Canis lupus familiaris: one gene and its partners. The protein of the gene in region 1 purifies or fractionates together with the protein of each later gene. This does not show direct contact. Links are inferred from orthologs where the notes say so. Each region holds a gene or a part of one and is shown in the gene's direction. Other genes may lie near its edges. The genes, in order: PRKAR2B, AKAP11, AKAP9, AKAP1, PDE4DIPP2 and CDK5RAP2.

Region 1 (4,931 bases):
TGTGAATTCCTAAGCTTTATAAAGTTTTAAAATGCAGCTAAATACCAAGAAAAACAAAAAAATTTACTAGAGCAGTATATCTTTTTTTCTCCATTTGACATTTAGAGAAAGAGCTAATCAATAAGCCTGATATTCCCTCTCCATCTGGCCTAAAAGAGTTTAAATATGAATAGTAAGTGAAACAAAATATTAGTAAACCATTTAATCAAACTTCATAATTTTGATAGGTGACCATATGCTGCCTAGTTGATGAACTCATTTGGATAAAATGGTCCCTGTGGGGCCAATTAGCACCACATGCAGACAGCAATGCTTCACGGTCACATTGGCTTCGTCTTCTGCAGGGGCTCCTGTTTCACAAGTAGGTGTCAGAGCTCACGCAGGGACCCAGGGAGGGGATAAAAACCACTTCCTGCAGGACTCGCCACCATCGTTCCTCCAGAAGCTTTGCTTAGCCAATGTGAAGATGCAATAGTATGTTTTCTGTTTAAATGGAGAGCTGGGGTTTTTTGTTGTTTTCTTTTTTTTTTTAAGATTTTATTTTATTTATTCATGAGAGAGACAGAGAAGCCGAGACACAGGCAGAGGGAGAAGCAAGCTCCATGCAGGGAGCCGGACATGGGACTCAATCCCGGGTCTCCAGGATCATGCCCTGAGCTGATGGCAGGCGCTGAACCACTGAGCTACCTGGGCTGCCCAGAGCTGGGGTTTTTAATGAAAAGTTTTAAGTCTGTGTGCCTATACAATTTATAAAAATCCAAAAAGAACAAAAGAGGAGTCGGGGAAAGGAAATCCCCTTTGTACCCCTGCCTTCCAGCAACCCAGCTTCTCAGGAGCCACGTGCTTAGAGCATTCTCATGGGTATTTCTCCAGGGTCATGTGATTTACAGAGCAGTATATTGTTTTTTAAGTTTCAGTGGCAGCAAACTTTCCACAGTGTCCTGCCTCATTCTTCTTTTTACTTAACAATATAGCCGTATTTATAGAGGTTTTGTATTCTTTTAAAAATTATTGTATTAGTTTATAAAGGTTGAGATTACTAACATTCATGTATTATAAAGCAAAACCAGGAAGACACATTAACCTTTTGCTGTTGTCTAATTTATAAAAATTGCAAACATAGCCAAGGAGGGCCCACAGCATCAAAATAATATTGAAAAAGGAGAGCAAAGTCGGAGGACTCACACTTGCTAATTTCAAAACTTTTACTACAGGGGTGTCTGGGTAGCACCGTCGGTTAAGCATACAACTCTTGGTTTTAGCTCAGGTTGTGATCTCGGGGCTGTGAGATCAAGCGCCACGTCAGGCTCCATGCTCAGCGGGAGTCTGCTTGAGATTCTCTTCTTCTGCCCCTCTCTTCTTTCTCTCTAAAAATAAATAAATCTTTTTAAAAAAACTTTTACTACAGAGCACGAGGAATAAAAACAATGTGTTAATAGCATGGGCAGATGCATAGAACAATGGAATAGAATTAAGAGTCTAGAAACAAACCTATACATTTGATTTATATGTTTAATTTGATATTCATTTGATTTCTGATGAGAGTGCCAAGACCACTCAATGGGGAAAGAAAAGTCTCTTCAACAAATGGTCCTGGGACAATTGGGAACCAAGTTGGATCCCTCCTTTACACTGTACACAAAAATGAACTCAAAATGGATCCAGGACCTAAATGTGAGCTCCCAAACTATAAAAACTCTTAAAAAAAAAAAAACCCACAAGGGTAAGTCTTCATGACCTTGGATTTAGCAGTGGATTCTTGGGTAGACACCAAAAACAGGAATATGAAAAGAAAAGAAGTTGGACTTCATAAAAAATAAAAATTTTGTGCATCAAAGAACGATATTGAAAAAAGTGAAAGACATCTACAAATGGGAGAAAATATGTGGGAAATCCTACATATAAGGGCCTAGTATCCAAAATACATAAAGAACTCTTACAACTCAACAACAAAATAACAACCCAACTTAAAATTGGTCAAAATACTTGAATATAGACATTTCTCCAAAAAAGATACACGAGTTACCAGTAAGTACATGAAAAGATTCTCAACATGGCTAGTCATTAGGGAATTGCCAATCCTGAAACCACAATGAAGTACCAGCCCAGCACCAATAGGGTGGGAATAATTTTTTTTTTTTTAAGAAGGAAACATAACAAGTGTTGGTGAGGATGTGGAGAAATTGGAATCCTAGTACATTGCTGGTGGGAAAGAAAACTGTTTAGGCGCTGTGGAAAACTGCTTGGCAGTTGCTCAGAAGTTAAACCTAGAATTACCGTATGACTCAAGTAGTTCCCCTCCTAGGGTTAACCCAGAAGAGTTGACATAAACATTCATAAATAGCCAAAAGGTGGAAACAATCTAAGCGTCCAGTGATGGATGAATGGATAAACCAATCGTGGTATGTTTACAGTGGAATATTATTCATCTATAAAGAAGAAGAAGTTGGGATATATCTAGAACAAGGATGAACCTCAAAATGCTGAGTGAAATAAGGCAGATGCAGAAGGTCATGTTGTATGATTGTGTTGTGTGAAATATCCAGATTAGGGGAATCCATAGAGACACAAAATAGGTAGGTGGTGCCAAGGGCCAGCGGGAGGAGAGAATCGCAAAATGCCTACTTGGTGGGCACAAGGCTTCCTTTTGAGGTGATGAAAATGCTTTATAACTAAGAAGTAAGTGGTAGTGGCACAATTTTGTGGCCACTGAATCGTTCACTCAACCGTGGTTAATTTTATGAGAAATTCAACCTCATGAAAAAACTGTGTATATATAATTCATCTGAGCATTTTGATTTCCATTAGTTTTCATATTTAATGGCTCACATACACTTTAAGGGGGCAATTAAATGAGCTGAATCAATCACTGAAGCACCTCCATGAAATCCCTGGGTTCCACAAAACCCAGTTTGAGAAACACCGAGCTCTTTTGTGTATTCGAGGGCCTTTGAATTGTTCCTGTATTTGTTCTGCGGAAAGATTTGTTTGTTCTTCACCTTCTAGTTTATTCTCACCAGCTGGAGTTTATCCTTAAGCCTTGTCAACCACGCTTCAGCAGAATAAAAATTTTATGTAACTTAAGTAGTTGTTGAAGAATAGGTTTTATGTTTCTGGCTTCTGTTTTAATAAATCTGTCCTAGGGTGGTGAATGGTTGCTTCTTAAAGAGAACCGTCATGATAAAGAATAGTGTTTCAAATTTGCCATCATTTTTGGGTTTGCATATGTTTTGTTTTGTTTTTCCTGTTCTGTTGTTTTGTTTTTAGTGCTCAACCAAAAGGATTGGAGGCAGAATTTGGATTCACTAAGTACTTAGGTAATCCCTACATAAATCCTAGTGATGACTAAACATAGGGAAGTTTTATTTTTTTATATTTTTTATTTTTTTTTCATAGGGAAGTTTTAAAAACAGTTATCTTTAAAAGATATTTGCAGTAGTTCATTACGAACCTGGTCATTTTAGTTGCCAAGATTCTATTTCATGTATAAGGTCTGTGGTGGTTTGGTGGTTCATTTTTCAATATATTAAACTGGGTGATCGTTGCACTGAAATATTCTGAAGTAGCTAATTATAATTACTTTCATTCAGGTACTGAATATGAAAGGAAATCTATAATCTCCTTTGTTAGGTGGTAAGGACAACTGCACTGTGTATTTTTTTTTTTTTGACAAGACTTAATGGCAGTGATGATATTTCTTTTTCTTTGAGCTGGTTCACAGAAATACAAAGCTGATTACAGTCAAGAGAACATATCGTAGACAAACATAAAGATTGTATCTTTTCTCTTTAAAAAATAGGAACAGATGTCTCAAGTGTTAGATGCCATGTTTGAAAAACTGGTCAAAGAAGGAGAGCATGTAATTGATCAAGGCGATGATGGTGACAACTTTTACGTGATCGATAGGTAAGTTTCGCGTAACCTCACTGCTGAAATGTAAGGAACCATCCCTGTAGAATCTCAGTGGTTCTTATAACAACTGGCAGATTAATATTCGATAGTTGCTGTTACCTCTTTAATATTCACTAGCTTTTAATATTCACTGTTCCCTCTTTATTCTCGTTACTGTATAAAAGGCACAGGAAGCCCGCTGGGAATACGTGTGGTGAAACCACATTAGATCATGGAAAGAGGCATAGTTTATAGAAGAAAGGAGGATTTTGGTTAGTTCGATCTATAAATCTCAATCATTTACTGTGAGCTGCCTCACTTATTAACTTTGGCTTGAGAGGATGCCTGCTACACTTCGAAGGCAAGCAGCGCACAGCATCTGGGGTGTTGAATCATATAACTCAGTCTGTTCTTTTTTCATTAACTATAAAGTAAAGCATGCGCATGGTAGAGAGGGGAGTTTATGCTGTTTCCAGAAATTGTTTATGCATTCTTGTGCATTAAAAACATTATAGAGAAGTTATTTTGAAACATTGTAGAGAAATTATTTTATTTAAATGAGAAGGCATACACTATATTGAAAAATGTGATTTCAGAAAACCTGCGTTGTGCTTTACTTTGTCAAAGCACAGTGTGCTTTAAGCGATAATTAGGTTAAGAGCCCCAAACTGTACCAGGGGAGCGGTCTGAACAGAGGCTTTATTTCTTCACTTCTGTGAAGTGATGCTGAAGTGTCCATGAGACAGTCGGCACCCCCGGCCCCTCCCATTATGGGTGCCACACAGGTCGTCTCTCAGCCGGATTCCCTGGGTTGCATTTGCTTCTCTGGGTGGAGTTGTACTCAGCTCTGAGCCATGCGGGAAATCACACCCCATCTGTCTGCGCAGCCTCATTTCTTGACTTGGCTCTGTGGTTGTCGTCTCTCCTACATCAGCAGTCATGCACGCTCTCTGCGTGCAGGGTTCTCTCTGAGTCCTCCCTTCCCTCGTCCCTAATGCCGTGGTGACCTCGTAGAGCTATTGGCAGGGGCTTCAGGTGAG
Region 2 (5,646 bases), on another chromosome or scaffold:
AGAGTGGTGGAGTGGAGTCCATTGTTCAACTACATTAGAAGTACCAAGCAGCTGTTTCAGTTAATCATTACGAGGACTGCAAACAGCACGCAAAAGAGAGCGCTCCATTTTTTTCAGCATTTTAAAAGAATAGTCTTAATTTGCTAAAATAATGCCTTTTCTCTTTTTAGCATTTTTCCCCTTTAAAAAGTAGTGCTTATTTGAAATCTTATTTTCATTAACATTAAAGTGTTAGCTTAACTTTAAAATGTCGCCTCGGATCTTTTAAAGATTTTCTATTTCTTAAATCTTGATCAGGAACATGTGAACCATTATTAAATACTACGTGGGTTCAAAATAGCTACAGGGAATATGAAGTTGAACAGGTGGCAATGCTTCCGTTTTCACACTCTGAGAAGGCCAAGGTTTCTTAGGGAAGCATTCCTGGTATCTGTATGAACCAGTTTCATAGTTCCTCAGCTGGGGTGTGTGTGTGTGTGTGTGTGTGTGTGCGTGCACACACACGCAAGAGTAGGGGCATCCAATTTCATTTGGCTTGCGCTGCTGACTCTTAGATTTTACAAAAATTTCATTTCCCTTTCCAGCTTCCGTCTTACTGATGCGTGCATGCCAAAGTGTAATTCAGGCTTAACCACTCTGTGTGTAAGCTAGTTAAATTGTCTTGTTTTATGTATGAAGGAAGCTGACACTCAGGAATGATAAGGAACCTTGATTTGGTCACTTTACCAGTTAATGAGAGATCTTCCGGTGGCAATACAGTCTCCTGATTTCTGATTCTTTTAGTGAAACATTTTCATATCCTAAACCTTCAACCTCTATCTTTTCACATCTTATAATTAGGAAATAAATATCTGCACCGAACATGACTTTATGTTGTTGTTGTTTTTTTTTTTCATAGAACTGACTTTAGGAATAGATAGAAGAGGTAGTTATCTGTGTGGTGTCCATAGAGAAAAATCAATCAATCAATCAATAATGACTTTCCTTTTGGGACATTCATTTTCCCAAGTAACAAAAAAGTTTCCACTCATTTCTCTTATTAAACAGCAGTAACTGAAGATGCATCCAGATGCTTTTAACAAAAGGCAGCAGCCGGGCACCATGGCTCTGACCTAATGGATTCTAAGAAAAGGAATGTCAAGGTCATTGGAAAATTAGGCCTTTCAGGATTGTGTCCGTGTTGGGACTACTAGTCTCAATCTCCTTGCTTCCTCTGTGACCTCCTTAAAAAAAAAAAAAAAATTCCATTCTCTGCAGGGAAGACTTTTAGAGACAAAAAGGGTAGAGCATAGGTGCCCCCTCCCCTCTTTAGAATTCTAGGGCCTGGTCCTGGAGTTCCTGGATCGAGTCCCACGTCGGGCTCCCTGCATGGAGCCTGCTTCTCCCTCTGCCTGTGTCTCATGAATAAATAAATAAAATCTTAAAAGAAAAAAAAAAAAGAATTCTCCATCGCTCTCTGTTGCATTTAAATCCTCAACAATTCCTTCCTCAGCTTACAAAGCCTTACAGGATGCGGCCTATGTTTGCTTACTTCTCCAAGCTTATTTCTTCTTACTTTCTCCTATTCCCCCCCCCCCCCCCCCCCCCCCCATCAAACCCAATGCAAGGCCTTTGAATTCGCTCTTCACTTTGCCTGGAACGCTCTTCCATCCGACGTCAGCCTGGCGGTTGAAGCAAACCACGGCTTCCGCGTGTCCTCCAAAGGCCCGCCCCTCCAGCAGCCGCCCAATCATCACCATCACCATCGCAGCATCGACTGTTGTGATTTTCCTTGCATTGAGCTTGACGCCCCCCAACATTTGTTGTCCTTCTCCCCTTCCTCCCCCGTAAGCACCCAGACTCCTCTGCCCCCATCGCTGCTCAATCCACGGCCTGGAGCCGTGCCTGACATCTGCAGCAGCCCGCCCAATGCAGAAATGGGATGCACGAGGGTTGCACCCTTTGACCCCCCATCTCCCAAACAGGGGTTAGGACTCCTCATCACGAGGATGCCAAGTTCCAAACGTCTTCCGCATCCTCCGGGGACTTCCCGCCTGGATGAGAGGTCCGCCGAGGAGGCTGTGCAACTCGCCCGGACTAGGCCTTCCCGGTCCTAAACGCAAATAACAGTTAGGTGATCGTGCGCGGCTCGGGGGCCCCGCGGGGACCCACGCTTGACTTCCCGAGTCCGACACCGCGGACGTCGGGAAGGGTGAGCACTAGGGCCCGGAGAGCCCGCGATGCTCCTCGCTGAGGTTCGGGGAGGGCCGGCGGCCTGCAGCGCTGAGTGGTCCTCCCCCCCCCCCGCCCGCGATGCCGGGGAGAAGGGGCGGAGCCACGCCGAGAGGATGAGCCCCGCTTAGGCCGCCAGAGGTGCCGGGGCTGCGCTCTGGGAAGAGCCCCCGCTCCCCGAAGACGGCCCGGCGGGCCCAGCCCCGCTGACCCCACGGCGGTGAGCCCAAGGCGCGGTGGGGGGGGCGGGCAAGGAACGCGGGAAGGGCCCGAGACCAAACCTGCGCGGCCGGCCAGCGCCTGAGCATCTTGCCGGAGGAAAGGGTTAAGCCGTTTCCAAGGTAACGGATCAGGAAGCGCGCATGACGTTCGCCGCAGGTTCGTAGGTCAGCCTGGAGTTTAAAGCTCCCACGGCCGGGCGGAGTCTGGCCAATAGGGAGGCCGCCTGGGCGTCACGTGACGCACGCCCCGCCCCCGCCGGCGAGCGGCCCCAGAGCACGTGGGAAGGTTTTTTTTTTTTTTTAAAAAGCCCACCCACTTTTGCGCGGGCTCGGCCACCGAGTTGTTCTCTCGCGAGAGGCGCCGCGGCCTCTCGCGAGAATGAGTGGGAGGCGTGGGGACTAGGTGGTGGTGCGGGCTTGGAACTGCGGCGGCGGAAGCCGGGGGTGGGCAGGGCGAGGGCGGGGGCGGGGAGGGGGGAGGGCCGGGGGCCGGGGCGGGAGGGGGGCGCCCGGCCGCTCGGCGGCTCGCGCTAGGCTGGTGGTTGCGGGCCGGTGACATGCGTGGGAGCTGCGGCGGCTGCGGCCCCAGGTGAGGCGTGTGCGGAGCCTCCCGCAGCGTGAGCCGCGCTTGGCCCCGGGGGCGGGGTGCAAGGGGCGGCCCGGCCCGCAGCCCCCGCTCGGATTTCGGGGCTGCCCGGAGCTGCGCCGCCGCACGGCGGTGGGAGGAGGGCGGGAGGAGCTGGGCGGCGAGAGGAAGCCCGCGGCGCTGGGTCGGGGGGGGAGGGGGTGTCCTTGGGCTCGAGACGGGTCCCCCGGGGTCCGGACTGGGGCGGCCCGGGTGCAGCCTCCCCTCCCCCCGCCGAATGACGAGCTCGGTGTGCATCCCCGGGGTGGTCCTCGGAGCCGGGGCTCCGGTGCGGGAGCTCAGTGTCCGTGGGGTGCGCACGGGAGCGTTTGCAGGAGGAGGAGGAGGTGGAGGAGGAGGAGGGGGAGGGGGAGGGGGAGGTGGAGGACGTTGCACTTTGTCCCCGAGCAGCATCCTTCAGTGTCAGGACCCCAGAGCCCTGGAACCTGGCGCAGCCCAGATCGCGGGACAGAAACGGAAGGCGCCAAGCAGCTCCCCGGAGCCTGGATGGTTTGCATCGTGCTGTCAGATGTCCTCCGAGGCTGCTCGTCGTTAACGGTTTAGATGCCCTCGCCATTCCGTGTCGCGAATGGATTGGGCGTACTTTTTATTATTCCAGGCGCCTGCCTACTCTGCTTTGCACACACATAGGCGGGGGTGACCCCAAAGTGTTAAAAGCGTTGGTAAGATGGCAACGGCAGGGGGAGGATCTAAACCACTACCAGGGGTGTGCGCAGAGCGCGCTCGTGAATTCGTGCTCTCCCTCTCTCTGTTCTCAAACCTGATTCAGCCGGAGCCGGTTTTGGAATTAAGGGTGTTAAGGAAATTTCAGGCTGAGAAATAGAGCTGACACGCATTACCTAATGGTCTTAAGTGCAAACCAGGGTTAAGCATTCTGGATCTCTCTTCAGCTTCGCAGTTACCCAGCCCCTTGCAAAACACGTAAGCTGCTTCCCACCGCTTGTTAGAGGTGATGTTACAGTGACACTGGTTGATACTGATTCTGACACTCAGTATCTGAGTATCAGATTCCTGCAAAATACTCAGAAGATAGAGAGGACTCAAGAATTCTAAGGTACTCAGGAATGCAAAGATGGTTTTAAGGTCTCGTTTAGGACTTGAGAGCAGCAGTTGGCAGCACGGTTCCCAGCACGATCAGTGTCGAGTTAAAATAGTGCATTAGTAATGAATCTTGTTAAACGTCTGGTCACCTTTTTTTTATTTTTTTGCAAGTAGTACCACGGATTTTCTTACTTTCTTATGTTCCTTCTGGCAAAGCAACCCCAGGGTTGAGAATGGATTTCGCTGTTAGCTGTGGCTGTGAGTAACAGGGCACTTTATGAGAGATCAAAGAACGTAAGGCAGTCAGAACAAATGGGTTCCCAGGCTAAACTGGTGACCAGTGATTAATAAATGTACCCATGTAATTGCACTGTTGCTAACTAAGGTCCTAGAGATAGACTCCTAGGCTAGTGATGGGGAACTTGCTAAATACCCTGCACCACAGTAAGGGAGCTTCTTCAGCTTCTAAATTCCTGGGATAAATCTAGAAGCCAAAGAAATCCTCCTTTATCTGTAGGGGCTAGAAGAAAGATAGTACATTTATTATTATTTTATTTTTATTTTTATTTTTATTTTTATTTTTAATTCCAGGAACATACTGTCTGGAAATAGGGAAATTTCCGCTTATAAATAGGCAGTGGATTCTTTTAAATACTTAAGGAAAATATGAAAAACTTAAGAAATGTCTTTTTTGAGAATGGGCAAAAGAGACAGGTCTGAATTTTACAAAGCTCCCTCCCATTCCATCGTGGCAGACTGATTTTCAAGGACAGAAAAATCGAATTCTGTGCTAGTCTTTATAACCTTTTGGTAAGGGTTTCAAGCTTTTAGCATGTGGATATTTGTTGATTTGTCTTGCCTTTGAAAAGTAACTGAAGTGGGGCACCTGGCTGGCTCGGTCTTTAGAGCATGTGACTCTTGATTTTGGGATTGTAAATTGGAGTCCCACATTGGGTGTAGAAATTACTTAAAAATAAACTCTCAAAAAATAAGTCGTTTAGGGTAGGATAATATTTTAGGCAAACTGAATTTGTTCTCTTTCTGTCAGGTGGTCTGCATTTTAATAATAAAGTCACCCACTTGGACGGAGGATGGGACAGGCCAGGAAGAGATCCACACTTAGTTTGAGCTTGACATGAGGATGTGTCAACTGGTAAAGTAGGCAAAGGAAAGAAAAAATACTATTACCAGTTTTGAAACAGACCAGAAGATCCGAAGGTCTTTATTCTACTCGTCTTTGCATATAAAAGTTCATTTTATTGTTAAATACTAGAGAAAGCGTTTGAAGTGTATAGAGACTCAACAGGTTAAAAGGAGAAACGTTAACATTTTTGGATTAATCTGAGATTTTTTTCGTGAAAAAAAAAAAGATAAATGGCCTGGTGGTCTGGAATAGATTGGATGTAACTTGAATGGAAATGAAGCAAAATATAGAGTTTGGGCTTTGAAGTCATGCAGATCTATTAATATAAACGAGCCTCCATTTCCTCATCCCCGGTGGTGAGAGTCCAGATACCTCATAGATAT
Region 3 (4,931 bases), on another chromosome or scaffold:
AAATTATTTTACAACTGCAAAAATTAACCGGCCAGCCAGGGGAAGAGGTAAAACTTTTAAAAACTCTTTATAAGATATCAATAACAAAGATTTAATGGAGCTATGTGAATCATTTGAAACTGGCACTGTATTTTCTAAAGAGTTTTAATTTTGTCTTTTAATTTAAATATTAATATTTGTTCTTCCCTAACAGACAATAATGAAAATTTGAGGGGAAATTAATTTTCATTATCATTGTTGAATAACTATAGTGGCATTTTATTGTATTATGATAATTAAGTTTCAAGATTATGATAATCAAGTCTGGCTTATCTCACCACTCTCAAAACCACCCACAGAATGCCACCATTGTCTTCATAGTTAACTAATCTGATGAATCTTTTCATTCCCTGTCTTTTTAATTTTTTTGTAGCATTTGATACTTTTGACCTCTCTCATCTTAAAAACCTCCTTTTTTTACCTTTTGTGACAGTATATTCTCAGTATATTTTGTGACCGTATATTCTCAGTATATTTCTTCCATTTCTTTCATCAGTCACCTTCATGAATTCCTCTTCCTCCTATCCTGATCCATTTTTTTTCCTCTGTGAAAGCTCATTTATTCCCACAGCCTGAGTTCTCAGTAGACGTATTTATTGAACAAATACTTACATAAGGCATGTGTTATGTGCCAGTTACTACCCTGGGTTTTGGGCTACAATGAATAAATGTGATAACGATCTGACCACTTAGATCTCTATCTTCTAGTGGTCTGTGGTTCTAGTCTATACCTCTATCCTGTGATCCAGATTTATATTTTCCATTAGTTACAGGAACTCTTTCTCTGGGGAAATGCGCCTCATAGTGACCCCTTAGGAACCTCACAGGCACATTCTAAACTGAGCATCTTCTTTTTTTCCTCCTTCTGTCCCCAACCCATGTTTCTGGTCCTGATAGAGCCCACTTTGGGAATTTGGAAGTCACCCTAGACTACCTTCCTTCACTCTCACTTGTGTATCCTAGTAGTAATGAAGTCCTGTGCTTTTACTTCCTAAATATCCCACGTGCCCTTAGTCATTGCCTTTATTCAGGCTTCCAGTATTTCTCACCTAAACTATTGTAATGACTTCCTGATGTGTCCACCTGACACCAGGATCTATCTTCCCTAATTTACTGTACTTCGCATGCTGCTAGCAAAGGAATTTTTTTTAAGATTTTATTTATTTATTTATTTGAGAGAGCATGAGCAGGAGGTGGGCAGAGGGAGAGGGAGAGGGAGAAGCAGACTCTCTACTGAGCAGGGAGCCTGACACAGGCTCGATCCCAGGACTCTGGAATCATGACCCAACCCAAAGGCAGATGCTTAACTGACTGGGCCACTCATGTGCCCCCAAAGGAATATTTTAAGACATAAATTTTGTTTGTAGCACACTCTGAAAGCCTTTAGGGCTCTCTGCTGCCTCCATTTAGGTCTATTATCTATAAAGTGAAGGCAGCCTTTACTCTAACGTAACCAAGCAACCTGTAGCTCCTGAAAAGCAACACACTCTCCAACAAAACCCTTGTGCCTTTACACATGCTATTCCTTCTGCTTAATATGCTCTTCCCTATCTTCTTTCCTACCTATGAAATGCTTCCTAGTTATTTAAGACTCAGTTCAAGCACCACTTCATCATGAAATCTGGTGTTCTCAGCGTCTGCTCACATGTTGATGTGCATTGTTCATAAACATTTGTGCTTACACGACCTTAGTACCATTTTCTCTTTCTAGCCTGGTTTAGTGTCCCCTGGTACTTCTTGTGGCTCGTTGACTGAAAGACTGCTAAGACAAAATGCTGAGCTGACAGGACATATCAGCCAACTGACAGAAGAAAAGAATGATTTGAGAAATACAGTTATGAAGCTAGAAGAACAAATCAGGCGGTATCGACAGATAGGAGCTGGCAGAGATTATGTACGTCTGATTTTAGTGTGACCATGTTAGAAATATTGCTGAGTTACAATTTCTACTCTCTAGTTTCAATTTTTAACTCTAATATAAAAATATTAGATATCTGATTCTTAGTAAGATCATTGAAAAATGGTAGAGAGATGACAATAATAATGATAATAATAATAATAGATATCATTTATTGGGGGCCTTCTCTGGGCCAGATCCTGGGTTCTGTACATTCAGAATCTTTAATCCACATTCAGTCTTGCACATGAGAAAACTGAAGTCTGTAGTCCAATCAAGAACTGCTTATCTCCAAAGCCAGATACTTTGCTACCTAGGAACCACCAGTGGGTCCATGTTAAGAAATGTTCAAATGTGAATTCTGACTGTTCCTCATCAGTTAATTATCAGTTATTATGTTTGTGACTCAAGTGAAAGATGCCATTAAATTATTTATTTCAGTCTAATAAACCACTCTAGCAGTTTATTTAAAATTTTTTCCAGTTAAAAACTACAAAATAAATTGCTAGCTTCTGTAATATAAAGATAGGAATATAATATAAAGATAGAAAGGACTCCTGAGACAAATACAGGATAACACATCCACAGAGCTTCTGCATGGATCCACTTCCCTGTGTATAGCCGGGGATTTTTTTCCGCACTCCCCCAAGGCGCTGTTTCAGGGTTAGGCTCTACATTTGAACCCAGATGGTCGGTCTATTTATTAAGTCTCTAGACTTTATATTTCAAAGCTCTGCAAAAATCTAAGCACTGTCTTTTGGGTGAGGCTTCCATAAAGATTTTGTTTTAAAATTAATCTACTAAGCAAAGGACCATATACTTAATGTATATTCTTTACTATCAATTGAGATCGCTGTTGAACTCTCCCTCTCTGAGATTGGAAAGCTGAGATCCCATAGGGGATACCTTTAATGTGTTTAATTTAGATTTTTCTTCAGAGACTTATTCCTAAAACTCATGTAAGTGGGCTCTCGTTTCTGCAGTCTTCCAGGTTTTCATTCAGTGGTGGTGCCAGCATTGAAGCCATCATTGCTTCTGAAAAAGAAATCTGGAACAGAGAAAAGTTGACTCTCCAAAAATCCTTGAAAAGAGCAGAAGCTGAAGTGTATAAACTGAAAGCTGAACTAAGAAATGAAACTTTACTTCACAACCTGAGCCCTGATTCAGAGCATGCTGCTATAAAGGTAGGAGACATCTTCCATCTAAACATGTACCAAGGCTGGTCCTCTTGCCTTGTTTCATCTCTCACTAACCTTAACTGAACAGAGTAAAGAAATTTAGGTGGCGCTCAGGCTGCCTCTAGGTCTCTCACTATTCGATGTGCATCATGAGTACAGGCCTCCAGCTGGTCACAAAAACTTGGTGGCAAGGCATGCCGTACTGGCAGCACCGCGAGCTCACGGTCCTGCTTCCCACCATTTCATCCCTGAAGACCAACAGAAAGTTTCATTTCTACTGCCAACAAAAGCTCTACTACATTCAATACCAGAGCATCATGTTCTGTAAGATGGTAAACCCTCTGAACTGCCTTTCTCCTGACTAAAATGAATACTGTAGTTAAAACTGCTTTTAATCTGTTAACATAAAATCCAAAACAGAAAGAAACATGTTTGGAATATTTCTTTTAACTATGGAGTGAACATAAATTTATGCTTCTTGAAGAGACAGAGAACATTAACATTGAAAACTTTAAAGAAAAAAAAGATTAGCGACCGTAATAATAAAAGTAGCTCTACGCAGTTAGAGGAGAAAAAAACTGAGATAATAATGGAATGACAAAAATATTTGCAATGAATATGATGAATAGAGCCTAAACTCCAAAATGAAACCCCAAACCTAAGTATAAGGTTTGTAGTCACATTCCATGGACTAAAAAGAGGCAGAAATGTAAAATCTAAGGTTGATTATCTTTATCTTCAACTTTGCTGATCAAATGGAAAACAGTAGTAGGATATCTGCCATTCCACTACTAGTACTTTTGTAAAATAAAATCTATGTTATCTTCCCCTAGAGAACAATTTGAATGGCTTTTCAATAATGTCTTTATGTTCTTCCCCCCTTTTTTTTTAACATAGAGAATTTATGGTAAATACCTGAGGGCAGAAAGTTTTCGGAAAGCGCTCATTTATCAGAAGAAATACCTGCTGCTATTACTGGGTGGGTTTCAGGAATGTGAAGATGCCACCCTGGCTCTGCTGGCCCGGATGGGGGGACAGCCAGCCTTCACAGACCTAGAGGTGATCACCAATCGTCCAAGGGGCTTCACCAGGTTTCGGTCAGCCGTCAGAGTGTCCATGGCAATTTCTAGGTAAAGTGTTGGAAATAAAATGCATTTTAATAGAATCTGAAAGGATTTAGATTTTTAATCCTCTCCTTTCTCTGCCTAGTATGCTCCGTATTCATGTATATGAGACATTTATCATCAATAAAACATGCCGACTTCTTTCTTTCATTCTTGTAGCCAGGGATACCTTATATTGCACCATGAAGATCCTATAAAAAGGGCTTCCCAGGTGCAGGTAGCTAGTAACTCAGAGCTGGCACATCCCATCTGGATTGTGTTTTGGTTTTGTTTTATTTTTTAACTCTGAATAAGGCCATGAACTAGCTCAGACCTATAAATAAAAGGAATCACAAAAGGGAAAAAAATGTTTTTGAAAAATTACTTAGGCTACACATTCATTTTCTTCATTGCTAAAATAACCCACTCATGGGGTTCAGCTACACAAAGCCCTGGCCTAACATCTGCATTCAAACCGAAGGTTAGCCTTTAGGGCATTGGACTATGCTAGTGCTTTTGTAACTCTTCCTCTAGTAGTTCTAAGCTAGGAACTACTAAGTTCTAAGCTTTTGTAACTCTTCCTCTAGTAGTTCTAAGCTAGGAACTCTGGTACTCATTTGTGGTTGAAATGGAGCCACTCAGGACTCCCCACTGAAGGGAGTCTGAGTCCTGACTTCACCTAGGTGATAAATACCAAACTCTCACAGAGTTTGG
Region 4 (5,364 bases), on another chromosome or scaffold:
TTCAATTTTGTTTTCTGTGTCTTACTTGATCTCCAGCTCTTCACTGCACCTTGGCCACTGCTGTCGGAGTACCTCTTTGGACTTAAATACAGCAGATTCTCAGCTGTTCATGTTGCTTCTGGGAAGCATCCCTGTCCCTGTCCCTGCTTCCCCTTCATCCTGGGAATCCAGTCTTCTCTTCTTTTGTGTTGCTTTGTGGAAGGGTGCCCCATCCTTTCTTGGTTTGCTCCCTTGTCTTGATGGAGCCCATCGTTCAGTAGCTTGCTGAGAAAAAGTGGGGGAGGGTAGGCAGCTGACAAGAAGCAAGCTAACTCATGCACAAGGACAAGTCCTTTTGAAGGCATGAATTTGGGGTGTGCCAAAGATGAGAAGGTTGGTGGAAAGTTAGCAAAGACAATGAGGTGCCCACATCCCTTTCACCATGCCAGCAGAAGATCTGGCTGCACTTTATGAAATAGTTTAAATGAGAGGAGATCTGGATTTGGGCATTAGGTAGTGAGAAAAATGGGTACGGAATGAAAGTGCATATGGAATGGGATAACTGAAGCCCTCTTAGCTCTCACAGTGCTGGCATTCAGGCTAATAACCTCTCCTCTTCCATCCCAGGACATTAGAACATTCTAATCTGTGGAAACTGGCAGCCTAATTCCTGTTTGTCCCCCATCCCATCCAGGATACTTGCCTGACTCTTGGACCAAAATTGTCACTTGGTCAGTGGCTAAGGGTGGCACCAACAGCCCATTGAGGAAGGTCATTGTTTTTTTTTTCCCCCCAAAAAAAGAAACTGATTGGGACACATGGGTGGCTCAGTGTGGGCATCGGCCTTCGGCTCAGGGTGAGATCCTGCAGTTCCAGGATTGAGTCCCACATTGAGCTCCCTGCATGGAGCCTGCTTCTCCCTCTGCCTGTGTCTCTGCCTCTCTCTCTCTGTCTGTCTGTCTCTCATGAATAAATGAATAAAATCTTAAAAAAAAAAAAAGAAATTGTGAGACTTGAAAGTGCCTCGAAAGTACGTTCTGATTCATTTCTGTGTCCTGCTGTGCTTTGTACCCTATAGGTGTCCATAAGTATTTGTTGGATAGGAATGACATTAGGCCTTTATGTGACTTTTGGGTTGGTCATATTCTACCATCTGCCATTTGGAAAATCAGCATCTCACCTGTTGATCTGCCCACCTGAGGTGATGGTGTGAAGGGCTGCTTGCCTCACACCATCTTCTAATTTCTCCTGAAGGCATGTGTCACCTTTATTAGCTTTTTTGGGTAAGCTTTTTGACAGAGCACAACTTCCTATCTTTTGGGCAGTCATGAGTAGTGTTCTGTGGTCATGGATGGAAACTCTGTGTACCTAGAAACACTTCCCTGGTACCTGCTTTATCACTATCCTCAGAGATTTGTCAGAATTTACTGGTAAAACAATGTGGTTGCCAAGAGCTGGGGATGGATGTGACATGGTTTTTATTAAGGTTTTTGAAAACCTCATTCCTACTCCCTAACTGAAGCAATGGGAAGACCTTTGTAGAAAATGCTGATTCCCACCCCTCACCCCGCCCCCCCCAGCCTTGTTCTTTATAACTTAATGAGACTGGACCTGCCCAGTGTTTGGTCAGCAGAACAAGGGAGACTGGGCATTTCACCTTTGTGTGGGGGGTTCTCTTTTTTACCAAGTTTTCCAAACTGGAAGTTTAATTTGTAATTGAATTAGAGGAGAAACAATTCTTAATTTGAGACCATGTCCAGAGATGGGATTTTTTGTTTCTGGTTCTTCTTACCTGGAGCTCCTGGGATTGGACTCTGGGTCTCCATTTTGCCTGGAGAAGACTTCACCGAGCAGGTACTCACACCCTGATGGTACTGGGTTAAGCCCTCAGTCTCCTGGAGAAGAGCCTGGGAAGCGTTCTATGACTTTTGGACAGCTGATCTACCTAACCGGGAGTGGGGATGGGCTGGCCACGGTGCCTCACCTGGCTGCTCTGTGGGGCCATCACAATGAAGGATGTGGGGACAGTATGGGGAGGACTTCACAGCCCCATTGTGAGCTAATTTGGAATCTTTAGGGTGCCAACATGAGTCACAGCCCACACAGGCCCCCTATGGATGAAGGTAACAACTGTTTGAACATCAGGGCTGGGCTGAGACCAACGTCCCTGAGGCATGGCTCCAGCACTCTGATTCCTGGGCCCCAGCCATGCTGAGGGTGAATTGCCCAGCTTACCACCATCCCCCACCCTCAGTGGCAGCACCAGATACCACCCAACAAGGTAGGCATTGGCTGTACAGCATTTATCTAGGTCTTATGTTTGTTTCTGGTCTGCTGGGAAGGCCCTCTAGGACTATACTATCCTTTAGGTAGCCACTAGCATTATGTAGCTATTTCAATTAATATTAAATAAAATATAAATTCAGTTTCTCAGTTTCACTGGTCACATTTCAAGTTAGCCCCCTGTGACTAAGTAGTTGCCAATATTGGACTGTAGTCGCCACTTGGAGATCACCCTGGCCTTTACCTCTTGTGACCTGCTCTGCTTTGGCTATGTTTCAGTTGCTGCCACTTGTTCCCATTGCCTTGACAGTAAAGGTCAAACTCCTTTTATCTGGCCTCCTACCAGCTCTTCAGCTTCACTCCCAGGACTTGTTCTGGTCTGGGACTTGCTGCTCCCTTCCACCCGCAAAGGCATCTTGGGTTTAGAACCTTAATTTACGTCTTTAACCCACCATTGCAACCTGAGCAAATTCTTGGTGCCTTTGAGGCAGTTGGATTCTGTTGCCTACTTCTGATATTGGGCTCAGTTTGGTGCAGGTCTGTGTGTGAGAGACACACAGATTATTCAGTACACATTGTGAGCTTCTGGTGGACAGAATCTTTTTCTTGCAGCAACTTAAGCGTATTTATGTGTGAATTATTACGTGAGTGAACGTATGTGCGTAACCTCAACCTGATGAGGAATCAGGTAAAAGCATCCTATGAAACTAAGAGGCCCTTCTGTGGTCTTGCACAGACCTCTGTGGTCTTCCTTCAGTAGACTGGTGGGGCGGGTTGAGGGGATGGGATGGAAGAAGGGAGGGGGGACCTTGACCTGGCCCATAGCCTGCTGTTCTCTGAATGCAGTGGTAGGAAATACTGGGCTTCAGGTCTTGGATCATGTTAGCTGTTCCTGTCCTTTGAAGACCCCCTTCAGGGGGAAAAGCCCCTGAACAACTTGACGTCCTGGGCATTCTAGAGATGGAGTGTCTTGAACACCAGGGGCCAGTCTTTGGGAATGTGAACACATAACCCTGGAATATTGGAAATGTTCAAATTTCAACTTGCCAGGAGTGTGGGGTGTGGGGATGGGGTGGTATAGAAAAGTCCATTCAGAATGCTGAGTGGATGTGACTTCACTGACCAGGCCTAAGTCCGCAGTGGACTTGATGGCCACTTGGCTACTAAGTGCTTGTTTTTATGATCAACTTTCCCATCAATTAATTACATGCAGCTCTTTTTTCCCACAATAATTGCAGCCAAATGGGCTTAGTCACTGGGACCAACACTGTTTGTACTGTTCCCAGAAATTTGTTTTCTTGTTTAGCAGAAGGCTCTAGACTGCAGTAACTGGGCTGGTCATCGGTGCTGGGAGTGAGGCCATTACTTCTCCAGAGGTAAGCTTTTCTGAGAAGCTGCAGGTTCCTCTGGGAGAAAGGAAAGGAATCCTTTTAGAACTCAGACAGAGCAGGTAAACCTCAAGGCCTTGTGGGGCCACGGCACGTGCCTGCCTTCAGCTCTGTGTGACCACTGGGCAACCAGCCAGCGTGCATCTATTCCCGGGCAAATGGACCTGCTAAAAATAAGCAGGCAGCTATTTAATTCCAACAGATTCAAAATAGCCATGTCTCCTCCCCACCAACCCTCAGGCAGGGTGCTGTATCCTTCTCCAAGGCTTTTCTCTGGCTTGCCTGAGTGTCTGGGGCCTCAGGAGGGGGGAGGCCCTGGGGGAGGTGGCTGCCTTCAATTAGCTTGTGAGTGTGAGGCTTTTAGACCTATGGTGTTAAATGCCACTCAGATCTGGAGAAGTTCAGTTTTTTTTTTTTTTTTTTTACAGAAAACCAAAAACCAGGGCAAAGAGAGCAATTCAGGAGTCTGTTCCAGAGAAGGAAGGTAGCAGAGAGCTTAATAAGGCTGAAGTGTGCACACCTGCACATGTGGGCCTATGTGTATATGCACAGGTGAAGGCGGCCCTGTCTGTGAATTCAGGAAAGGTTGGTGCCTCTCACAGCCCCTGTCTAGGCCTATCAGACCATGTAAAGTGGGGCACATGGCACCTTATCAATTCACCAGAAGTCTTTTAACTGAGGTGAGATTGGCTGGGTAAGACCCTTGGAAGTTAAGGGCTAAGGAAGTGAGGGACTGCTTGGTCACCTGGCGCTCCCTGAGAGGCACCTCCAGGCAGCGGGACTCCTTTGTGGGGGGCAGCTGCTGATCATATGGGCTCTTGGCTCTGTTTTTGGTGGAGATGGCTAATACCTCTAATCACAGGCCCTAGGTAGCAAGGAAGAAAACAAAGCACGCCTTCTCCTGTCTGGGGATCCTTACACCTCTTTTCTCAGATTGGGGGAGCACTTCAGTTGGGCAGTTCTTGTACCTGTAGGTCCTCATAGAGAAAAGCAGTTTCCCTGGAGGAGCAGGGATACTGTCTCCTGGCTCCTAAGCTGTAGGCCGAGTGAGAGTGGTGGGCACTGGGGACCTAGGTGCAGCATACAGTATTCTTTTGGTTGGGTGACGTGGCCTCAGGGTAGCCATGTTAATAAACACGTCCTAGGGGGCCCTGGTGCCACAAAGCAGGAGACATCTGGCTCAGAAATGGTATAGAAACTTGTTTCCTGGGATCCCTGGGTGGCGCAGCGGTTTGGCGCCTGCCTTTGGCCCAGGGCGCGATCCTGGAGACCCGGGATCGAATCCCGCATGGGGCTCCTGGTGCATGGAGCCTGCTTCTCCCTCTGCCTGTGTCTCTGCCTCTCTCTCTCTCTGTGACTATCATAAATAAATAAATAAAAATTTAAAAAAAATTAAAAAAAAAAAAAAAAAAAGAAACTTGTTTCCTGAGGTGTGATTAGCTGACTGTAGAGAGCTGTGGATGGTGGGTTTAGGGGCTTGGAGCCTGAGTCTCTGGTGAACAGGTGGGACGAGGAGGGGGAGGGTTTTTAGGTGGGAGAGTGGTAGAGGTGTCCTGGCAAACTGCAGAGCAGTGCTGTGTCCCCAGTGATGGGTCCTGTGTTCAGTGTGAACTAGGTCTGAGAAAAGAATGGATGAGGTGGAGGCCAGGGGGCAGTGACACAGGGGGCCAGGGTCCGGGTGATGTGTGGATCAACTAGGACCAAAACCAGGCTG
Region 5 (3,807 bases), on another chromosome or scaffold:
TGGGGTCCTCAATAAGCCTCCTTCCAGCTTCGCTCCCCATCACCTCTCCCGCCCCAGCTCCTCCCCTGCCATCTCGGCTCCTTGTCACTTTGTCACCCTCTTCTCTCCTCTCTACATTTCTTCCCTCCTTTAGGCCAAGTCAGGAATCCGAGGAAAGCAAGTGAGTTGATTCTCAAGGTCAGGGGACATGGGGAGACAGCCTCTGAATCAGCATCCAGGAAAGGGGTGTTGGGGCCAGCTCTAGGGTTTCCCGTAACACTTCTCATTCACTTCATGAACACATGAAAACAAGATGCAATCTAATCGGTTGCTCCACTGCATACTCTATCAGGCTGAGAAGAGCAATTCAATTTTCATACAACTTTTTCCAAAGAAAACCATTGGTTCTTATTGACCTAAAAGCGAATTTGGTAACAAATAAAAATGAAACTTGAGGAGACATGTTACCATATGGCAGGCATTCTGTACATTACCTTAAAATACTAATACATTCCCTAGCAAGTTTGATGATGAATAGCAGGTGGCCTGCAAATCAGAACCTAAACCTTTCACATGGTCTTTAAAGCTCTGCCATGAGCAATGGGGCCTATTCCTAGGATGGTTCCTTGACTGTAACCTGAGAGAATGTTGATCCCACAGCATGAAATGGGTCAGGACATGAGTTCACTCTCCTTTTTTTTTTTTTTTTTTTTTTGGGTGTTAACTCCCTTTTGTTCTTCTCTGCTGACTCCTTTCTTTCCTGAGCCTCTATAGAAGAACACTTACAAGATGGCCTCTGTAAAGCCTTATTCCTGCCCCAGCAAAGGTAACCCTACAGCCCCAAACACGGACTGGCTTCCCCTTGATTGGACATTTCCTCTGCACTTCCCAGAGACCAATGGAAAGGACCTAAGGCCCAGTGTCTAATCCCTGTCCCTGAGGCTTTGGGTGGCCCCTCATCTGTAAGAGGGGGCACTAGACTCAGGGGGTTCTGAGCTCCCTGCTGACTCAGCCCCTTCCTCTCCTCATGAATAAATGGGGTGTGAACTGAACAGGGGACCTCCCTGCACAATGTCCTCTCCTTCCTACAATAGGCTGTTACTACATGTGGATGTGTCATACCAAGCCCTTCTCTGTCTGGGAGGTCACAGAAGGCAACATTTTGCTCCAAGTGACTGGGGATGGAACTGGCCCCTGAAGAGGGAGTGTGGGATCTGGGCACTATGTGTATCATGGCTCTGAGCAGGGCCATCACCTGTCCCTGGTGGTGGGGAGCTTTCTCTCTGACCTGGTGGCAGCAGGGGATCCTCAGGAGCACACTCTGCCCCTGGGTGCATCCCCCTACAGGCTCTCACAGAGCTCCTGGGTCTGCCACTGCCCAGTGCTCACTGCAGCTCAGGGAGCCACCAGCAGGGCCTGATACTGGGCTCTCAGCTTATATTTTTGTTCCCAGGTGAAGTCCCTAAGGGCTCTGGCAAGCACCCCAGTCTTGTGACCCTTGCCTTCCAGGAGCCACGCAAGAAGAGGAGCCCCCAGAGGTCCTTCAAACAGCAGGAAGGATGGGCCTGCCCCCCTTTTGTGCAGGTCCCAATCTGCTGAGGAGGCTTGGACCCCACTCCTCCGCACTGGCTGGAGGGTCCAGGAGGAGTCAGGCATGGCCCAGTGGACGAGGGGGAAAGGAAGGCAGCCTTTCCTGGGGCTAAGGAACACCATCCTTCAGGGGCTGCTCAGCCCAGCACTGAGAAAAACATGCAGGGTTTGTAGAGGAGCTCCTGACCCTGCTTCTAGGGCCACCGTGGCCTGGGAACTCGCAGCAGCCATTTCTCACTGCAGCACCTTTCTTCAGATGGTCAACTCAGGGGGCCTGGACCCTGCTTCCTACATGTGGTCCCCACATGGGAGCGCCTCAGCAGTTCTAGAGCACAGCACACAAGTGACAAAGGTGCCTGGGGGCCAGTGGGGCTCAGCCAGCACTGCTCCCAGATCCACCCTTACCTGGGGCCACGTCAGCTGGCCACACTGTCAGGCTGGGCATCAGTCTACACTGCAGCACCTGAGGGCTTTGATCCACCTGGTAAAAGCAGTGGCTTCCCACCTGCCATCTCCTGCTTAGCCTGGCACCTCCTATTTCCATTCTCTTATGATCTCCAAAGTGTGGCGACCTCACTCTAAATATGCCGTCTCTTTTCATCATCCTAACTCCTCTCTGGCAAGTAGGACTCACGGCCAGACCAAGCTCACTGAAAGTCCTGTGTAAGACAAACCAGGGATCACGTTAAGTGGCACCTCAGAAGCCCCCATTGTGTGCAAGCCTAGTCTGTGTCTTAGCAGTGCTTTAGAAGGCATGTACGCGTGTATAAATGTACCATAGATATTTATGTATGTTACTATAGCACTATGTGGAGGGCAACATAACAGGTGGACAGGGTCTGTCAGAGGAAATGAAAGAATCTTTCTGGTGGCTATGAAAGTAAAATCTGTATAAAGAATAAAACGTTTTTCTGCACCTGCTCTGTTTCTAACGTCAGTGCCAATCTCTAGGCTGGTAAGAGTATGAAAGATGCGCTGCCTCTATGAAGGTCATAGTCTAATGCTTGAAGTCTAAATTTAAAAGGAGACATCTTGCCTTCTTTGTCTTTTTCTAAGAGTCCTTAATCTGAAAATATTAGAGGGTACTTCTTAGATCTGGAGAGTCTTAGAGTCAGCAGTGGAGATCACAGGAGCCACTTCCTGGGCTCCAATCCCAAGAGTTTTAGTTGGTGAGGGTCCCAGAATCTGCATTTCTTGCATCAATACCCCAGGTGATTGTGATGCAGGTGGGCTACAGACCACAGTTTAAACTTGTCCTTTCACATTGACCCAAGACTATAAATAAAGTTGTTTTACTCAAAGACATTTGATTAACAAGTGTGTAAGTCACTCCATAAATGTTGGCATAGAGATCTGCAAATATTCCTTGGAAGAGTCCTGTTTTATGACCTTTACCTTCTAAGGATTACTATAAAGCTATCCCTCCACAATTATTTCTAGAAAGAGTTACAAACCTGGGCAATCACCACAAACATAACCCACTAATACTATCCTCACACCACCATTACCAGTAACAGAAAGATCCAACAAGAGTCAGACCTCAGGTGAGATGCCTCCTACTCTGATAGTCCATGGGGTGACCCCACATCTGCTGTCACACTCTGCTGTTCAAGTGTTTCCATGAAGGCTTTTGGTTGTCAGTATAGAGGAACTCGCTGGCCCAATCAGCAGAATGGATTGTTGTGCCCAAGGTTACGTATCGGAGAAACCACCAAGGAGCTGACACCGATGCAAACACACGAGGGTTTATTTACAAGCTCGAGCTTGGGTCCAAGTGTACCCGACACAGCGGAGCAGGGACTTGGACACCAAGCTGGGTTTCAGCTTAGTTTTATGGGATGGTCTAGGGGACCTCCAGAAGCGGGGGGAGGAGGAATTTCTCAAGTTCTATTTACATTCTGATATGGGGCTTTCAGGGGCGTTAAGCTCTGTTCTCATTCTAATATGGGACTTTCTGCCACTGGCTTGGGCTCTGTTCTCATTCTAATAGGGCTTTCTAGGGCTTTAAGCTGTAAACTGTTTTTTTTTTTTTTTTTCCTGTAACTGAAGTAATGTAAACTTCAGCTCTTATTCACAGGGGCCTGGGGTGGCTGTACTTGTGCTAACGCTGAACTTCAAGTGGAATGGCCTTAATTTTCTCAGCCTCCACATTTCCCCCTCTCAGAGGAACCTAAGGATGGACCCAATCATGGGTCCAGGTTGCTCTCAGAGTGAGCCAGGGGGAATGACTAAACCAGG
Region 6 (4,987 bases), on another chromosome or scaffold:
GACCCGGGGCTCGACCCCAGGGCCCCAGGATCCTGACCCGAGCCGAAGGCAGACGCCTAGCCGACTGGGCCCCCCAGGCGCTCCCCCCCATCATTTAGCATTATAGCGTCATTATAGCAGCTGGGAAGTTACGCCTTTGGGTGTAAGGACCGTGACGCACTGACGCAGACCCCTGCTGACACGAAGCAGGTGGTTGGTTGGCCCCGATGGTGAACGGTGCCGGGCACATCCCGGGACGTGGGCGTCTTCTGGCGCCCGTGCTGCTGTAGGCGGGTGCCCCCAGGGCGGGGCTGCGGATGGGGGGCTAGCGTGGCAGGTGCTGCAGGGCAGGGCGCCGGGGCCTGTGCCGTCCTGGTTCCCCAGCGCTCCCGACGGCGCGGGTCCTGCAGGTCGGGGCGCGGGAGCTGGGCCCTGCTTGTCGTTCACGGGCCGCTCTGCGCGAGGGGGAGCGTCTTTTTCTATGTGTCTTGATTCTTTCCCACGTGATAGGATGTTTTGTATTCTCTGCTCATTTTTCCAATTCCTTTTCTCTTGAGACTGGAGAAATGAAGGCAGAGATCACCAAACTACACAAAAAGCTGTTTGAACAAGAAAAGAAGTTGCAAAACTCTCTGAAGCTCTTGCAGCTGAGCAAGCACCAGGAAAAAGTCATCTTTGATCAGTGTAAGTGACGGCTGGGGGTGGGCCGCTGTGTCTGCCCACTTGCCGCCCTGAGCCCCGACAGCCCCGGGCTGGACACCCGCTGGGAGGCCCACAGCAGCTGTCATCGTGCCTCCTGTTTGTGGGTTTCCTGTCCTAGCTCGTCCTTTCTGACCCGCACGGGCAAATAGATGCACTGAACGGACCCCGTGCAGGCCACGTGGTGCCAGGGGCGGTCCTCTCGCTGGGGCGGCGGGTGCCTGGCATCTGCCTTGACCGGGACCTTGACGTGACCTTGGCCGGGGTGGTAGGGAACAGGGGCAGGGAAGTGGGGGGGGCGTGGGCTTCTTGGACAGAGGGACAGCTGGGCGGAGCCCGCGGAAGGGGCGGTGTTGGTCAGACGGAGGGGGCGGCGTGGACACGGGCCGACGGGCAGCACGTCAGGCTATGTCTGGGAGAAGCCTCGAGCGGTCCGCGCGGCGGGTGGGGGGGTCACTGGCCAGGACTGCGTCGTGAGAGGCGTCGGGGAGCAGCCCCGCGGTGCTGGCGTGCGGGAAGGGCCTGCTCGGCTGCCCCCGGTCCCCCGGCCAGGCCAGGAGGAGGGCCCCGGCCGGGGGACTGGGGGACCGGCTGGTCTTGAGAAATACTTCAAAGGCGGACCCGGGACTCGGGCTCCGAGAGGCTACGGGACACTGGTAAGGCGAGCGCTGTCCCTGCCGGGAGCCGGGGTGGTGGGCCGCCGCTCCCTGTGCCCGGAGAAGCCGTGGGCCACCTCGGCCCGGGCCCACTCGCTGTGTGGTGGCCCCTCGCGGCTCCGGGGGCACCAGGCTGCCTGTGCCGCTCCTGTCGGGGGCCGGTGTTTCGGGGCATTTCTGAGAAGCCCAGGGCATAGACTGCTGGTGGGCATGGTTCCCCTCAGCTGTCCCCCAGAACCTTCTGGAAGCCGACTCCGTGACCCTGGCAGGGTTGGACGCCGGGTCGTGCAGCGGGCACTCACTTTGTGCTCCGTGCCCCGTGCCGGGCCTGGCACAGAGGCGAGGGGGCCGCCCTCCAGCACAGGGCCTTGGCTTCAGGGCTGACATGAGAGCCGGCTGCAGGGCCATGTCCTGGGGTCCGACTGCGCGGGTCCGGAGGGGCGGGTTGGCGTGGGCGAGCGGGCGGGCACAGATGGCGGCAGGTGGCCTCGGGGTGAGCCAGGAACATACTCAGGATGTGCCAAGGGGCCTGCTGAGAGACAAAGCCAAGTCGCCTGGTGGGACCGGGGCAGGGGGGTGGGGGGCAGGGCACGGGCTGGTGCAGTCCCTCTGTCTCGGAGGGTCCCCGCGGCTGGGGGGGGGAACGGCCAGGAGGCACAGGAGGCGGGGCGTCCTCATGGTGGCAGGAGGTCGGAGGCCGCCCCGTGGGTGCTGGCTGGCCTGGGCGCTGGCTGGGCCCCACGGCACGCGTGTCCTGAGGAGCCTGGCGGGCGTCTGGGGCGGCACCCATCGTGGAGCACCCGTGGTGGAGCCCTTGGCCAGACCCCGGGGGTGGGGGTGGAAGTGGCCCCGGGGCCTAGGACTGCGGCGGCCTGTGTCCGGGCGCACGGGGCTAACGCACCTGCTGGCCGGGGTCAGGGGCGGGCTCCCGGGATCCAGAGCACCGAGCCCGGCCTGGGCCCTTCGCCACAACCCTGGTGCCGTTAACGAGCGCAGTGCAGGTCTCTCCCCGTGTGACCTGCAGTAAGTGACGTTCCCTCCTGAGCTGCGGAGTCCTGTCCCCGACACGCGGGGGTCGCTGGGAGGCCTCGGCTGCCCCGGCCTGGGTCCTGACCACGACTCTGTAAGAACTGCCCGCTTCTCGTCCGGACGGATGGTGACACCCAGACCCCGCGGTGCACGTGCCCGACAGACACGGCCGGTGTCTCGGCCCCCTTCCCGAGCTTGCACGGGGTCCGTGTGTGGCGGGTGGCCGCTAACTCGGTGTCACCCTGTCTACCTCCAGGCCTCGGCCACAGCCCACCGGGGAGGGGCCGTGACCCCAGGGCCGGGCTCTGCCCCCCCCACGTCCCCGGTGGGGCGAGTCCTGAGAGGAGCAGCCCCTGCCCGCGGCGAGGGTTCGCGGGGTTGCAGGGGCGCAGGCGGTGGCCCCTCTGGAGGCAGGGCTGGCCGGTTGAACAAGCGCCCACCGCCCCAGTGTCTCAGATTCGCCAACACCGTCACTCGGGAGATGTGTTTCCTCGGGCCGGAATCCAGCGTTTCCCCAGGCCGTGCGTGGTCCCGCCCTGAGGGTGTCTCGGGGACCCGGACGGCAGGATTCCGGGTTCCCGGCAGGGGCGGCTTCCCAGTGGCCGGGGGGTGGCTGTGTTGGGCGAGAAGAGGGTCTGGGGCGGAGGTGGCACCCGCGGCCTGGGGCCCCTCCACAGTGCATCCCGGGAGTGTGTCGGGTTCTAGCAGCTGCAGGGCCCAAGGAGAAAGGGCCCAAAGGTCATGGCCTTGCGCAGATTCACGTCCGCTCTGCGCTGGGACCTGCCTCTGCGGCCCTCGCCGTGGCCCTTAGCGCACGGGTTTTCTCAGAGTCAGCCACGGGCCCTGCGCTGCACCGTCGCCCAAACCCGTAGGGGTGACCCGGGTCCCCGGGTGCCCGCAGGCCTTGCTGAGCCCGCAGCGGGCCGGTACCCGCGATGTCCTGGCCTCGCACGAACTCGCGGAGGCGCCTCTGGCCCAGTGGGCGACGTGGTCTCGGCGCGCGTGATGGGTGGAGCCTCCCACACCCGCCTCCGCCTCCGGTCTGGGCGCCCCAGGCTTGTCCGCAGGGGGCCTGACGCCCGGGGCACCCGTCTGACCGTCCCTCTCTCTCTCTCTCTCTCTCTCCTCAGTGGTCATAACCCACAAAGTCCTTCGGAAGGCCAGAGGGAACCTGGAGGTAATGCCCCCCGGGGTCCCTTAGGGAAGGGGGCCCGGGGCGGGGGCACCGGCCAGCAGATGACCTCGTCAGGAACCGGGGGCCAAAGGGGACCAGGTGCGAGTCCTGCACCAGCAGCTGTTTTCCGCCGGCAGCACAGTTTCACGTGGTGGCGCGGCTCAGGCCTGGGGTGGTGGTCGCGGTCGCGCTGCTGATCCCCCCGGGAGGACGGCACACGCCTCAGAGGAGGGAGCATGGCAGGCGTCGCTGCCGCTGGTGCCGAGAGCGCTGCCTGCTCCAACAGCGTGTCCCTGAAAGCGCGTTCACTCGGCCTCAGAAGCCCTCTGCTGGACCTAAAACTCTCCTTTTCTCCTCCTTTTCGCAGCTGAGGCCCGGGGGCGCCCACCCTGGAACGTCCAGCCCCAGCCGACCGGGCTCCTGAGACCTCCTGCCAATAAAGCTTGTGGTTCCCGCCGAGCGGACGCTGTGGCTTGTTCCCCGGGTGGGTTCCAGGTCCCGGGCGCTGGCTGCAGGACTCTGCCTCCCCTCGCGGCGTCTGTCCCGCGGCCGGCCTCAGGGGGCTCGTCACCGGCGTTCGGGTGCCGTCGGGCTCCGCACTGGGCCTCGGGCCGCCCCACCCGCGGCGCTCAGCCGCTCTGCAGCCTCAAGGTCCTCGTGGGGCCCTGCAACCCCGCGGTGCGCTCATTCCCAGCAGCGCCTGGAGCCCCGGGCCTGAGCCGCGGGGGCGGCCGGGGTGTCGGCCAGTCACGTGGCCGGCGAGGAGTGGGGTGGCCGGGCGGTGCCTGCATCCGGCCTGCGCAGGGGGCGCATCACCTCCGGGCAGGCCCCAATGGCCTCCTAGGACGAAGGGTCCACGTGAGGCCCGGCGTGGAGACTCGTCACGGTGTCCCCGGGGGGCGGCGGCCTCTCCAGCCCACTGTCCCTACACTGCCCCGTGTTGGCCGCAGCCTCTGTGTGTGACTGGCCCGTCCTTGTCCTGAGCTGCTCGCTGTCCCCGAGCAGTGAGCGCGGTGGGGCTCAGCCCTCGGCACAGGGAGCGGCCCTGACCCCCCCGGGATACCAGCCCCTCGGCACAGGGAGTGGCCCCGACCCCTGGGACCCCGGCCCCTCCGCGGGGCGCTCCTTGCCCAGCCCTGCTGCCACCTCTCGTGCTCCGGCCACCTTCCACTTGCGGCCTTGTGACCCGGGTCAGACCCGTCCTGGGGGGACAGGCCTGGTCCCCTCCCCCGTGGGCGCGTGCCCCCCCACCCCCCTGTCTCTGCCCAGTGCCTGGGTCGTGGGCTGCCACCGGTGGGAGAACGGCTGGCCCTGCCCCGCGGCCCCGTCCTCTGCCCCCTCCCCTGTTCTCACACCCCCCTCACCCCATCTGCTCCCCTGCCCTCTCTCCCCACTCCCCTGTCCAACCCCCTGCCCTTCCCCCTCCCCTCTCCCCTCCAGGGCCCTGCGC

The links.
Region 2: the proteins of PRKAR2B (region 1) and AKAP11 purify together in Homo sapiens (affinity purification with mass spectrometry; 3 studies listed by BioGRID and IntAct, counting the BioPlex papers as one, with this or other methods). This does not show direct contact. The link is inferred for Canis lupus familiaris from reciprocal best matches to the Homo sapiens genes PRKAR2B and AKAP11.
Region 3: the proteins of PRKAR2B (region 1) and AKAP9 purify together in Homo sapiens (affinity purification with mass spectrometry; 3 studies listed by BioGRID and IntAct, counting the BioPlex papers as one, with this or other methods). This does not show direct contact. The link is inferred for Canis lupus familiaris from reciprocal best matches to the Homo sapiens genes PRKAR2B and AKAP9.
Region 4: the proteins of PRKAR2B (region 1) and AKAP1 purify together in Homo sapiens (affinity purification with mass spectrometry; 3 studies listed by BioGRID and IntAct, counting the BioPlex papers as one, with this or other methods). This does not show direct contact. The link is inferred for Canis lupus familiaris from reciprocal best matches to the Homo sapiens genes PRKAR2B and AKAP1.
Region 5: the proteins of PRKAR2B (region 1) and PDE4DIPP2 purify together in Homo sapiens (affinity purification with mass spectrometry; 4 studies listed by BioGRID and IntAct, counting the BioPlex papers as one, with this or other methods). This does not show direct contact. The link is inferred for Canis lupus familiaris from reciprocal best matches to the Homo sapiens genes PRKAR2B and PDE4DIP.
Region 6: the proteins of PRKAR2B (region 1) and CDK5RAP2 purify together in Homo sapiens (affinity purification with mass spectrometry; 3 studies listed by BioGRID and IntAct, counting the BioPlex papers as one, with this or other methods). This does not show direct contact. The link is inferred for Canis lupus familiaris from reciprocal best matches to the Homo sapiens genes PRKAR2B and CDK5RAP2.

Annotation. Positions count from the first base shown.
Region 1 is NC_049239.1:13,675,939-13,680,869, reverse strand, and holds part of PRKAR2B (cAMP-dependent protein kinase type II-beta regulatory subunit), read left to right. Parts: intron 1-3,799; coding exon 3,800-3,906; intron 3,907-4,931. UniProt on the Homo sapiens protein: Regulatory subunit of the cAMP-dependent protein kinases involved in cAMP signaling in cells. Type II regulatory chains mediate membrane association by binding to anchoring proteins, including the MAP2 kinase.
Region 2 is NC_049243.1:8,486,397-8,492,042, reverse strand, and holds the start of AKAP11 (A-kinase anchor protein 11), read left to right. Parts: upstream 1-2,294; 5' UTR 2,295-2,431; intron 2,432-2,492; coding exon of another isoform or gene 2,493-2,636; intron 2,637-2,907; exon of another isoform or gene 2,908-2,961; coding exon of another isoform or gene 2,962-3,315; intron 3,316-3,468; exon of another isoform or gene 3,469-3,740; intron 3,741-5,646. Other genes in the region: atherin-like, read right to left, coding at 1,739-2,092, 2,493-2,636, 2,962-3,315. UniProt on the Homo sapiens protein: Binds to type II regulatory subunits of protein kinase A and anchors/targets them.
Region 3 is NC_049235.1:17,682,508-17,687,438, forward strand, and holds part of AKAP9 (A-kinase anchor protein 9), read left to right. Parts: coding exon 1-47; intron 48-1,750; coding exon 1,751-1,933; intron 1,934-2,919; coding exon 2,920-3,120; intron 3,121-4,011; coding exon 4,012-4,244; intron 4,245-4,931. UniProt on the Homo sapiens protein: Scaffolding protein that assembles several protein kinases and phosphatases on the centrosome and Golgi apparatus. Required to maintain the integrity of the Golgi apparatus. Required for microtubule nucleation at the cis-side of the Golgi apparatus.
Region 4 is NC_049230.1:31,842,226-31,847,589, forward strand, and holds the start of AKAP1 (A-kinase anchor protein 1, mitochondrial), read left to right. Parts: upstream 1-2,072; 5' UTR 2,073-2,260; intron 2,261-3,548; exon of another isoform or gene 3,549-3,568; 5' UTR 3,569-3,638; intron 3,639-4,078; 5' UTR 4,079-4,186; coding exon 4,187-4,330; intron 4,331-5,364.
Region 5 is NC_049238.1:57,944,136-57,947,942, forward strand, and holds the end of PDE4DIPP2 (myomegalin), read left to right. Parts: intron 1-133; coding exon 134-160; intron 161-726; coding exon of another isoform or gene 727-753; coding exon 754-805; exon of another isoform or gene 806-811; intron 812-1,432; coding exon of another isoform or gene 1,433-1,488; coding exon 1,489-1,682; 3' UTR 1,683-2,872; downstream 2,873-3,807. UniProt on the Homo sapiens protein: Functions as an anchor sequestering components of the cAMP-dependent pathway to Golgi and/or centrosomes.
Region 6 is NC_049232.1:73,961,649-73,966,635, reverse strand, and holds the end of CDK5RAP2 (CDK5 regulatory subunit-associated protein 2), read left to right. Parts: intron 1-536; coding exon 537-663; intron 664-3,493; coding exon 3,494-3,540; intron 3,541-3,904; coding exon 3,905-3,961; 3' UTR 3,962-4,001; downstream 4,002-4,987. UniProt on the Homo sapiens protein: Potential regulator of CDK5 activity via its interaction with CDK5R1. Negative regulator of centriole disengagement (licensing) which maintains centriole engagement and cohesion. Involved in regulation of mitotic spindle orientation.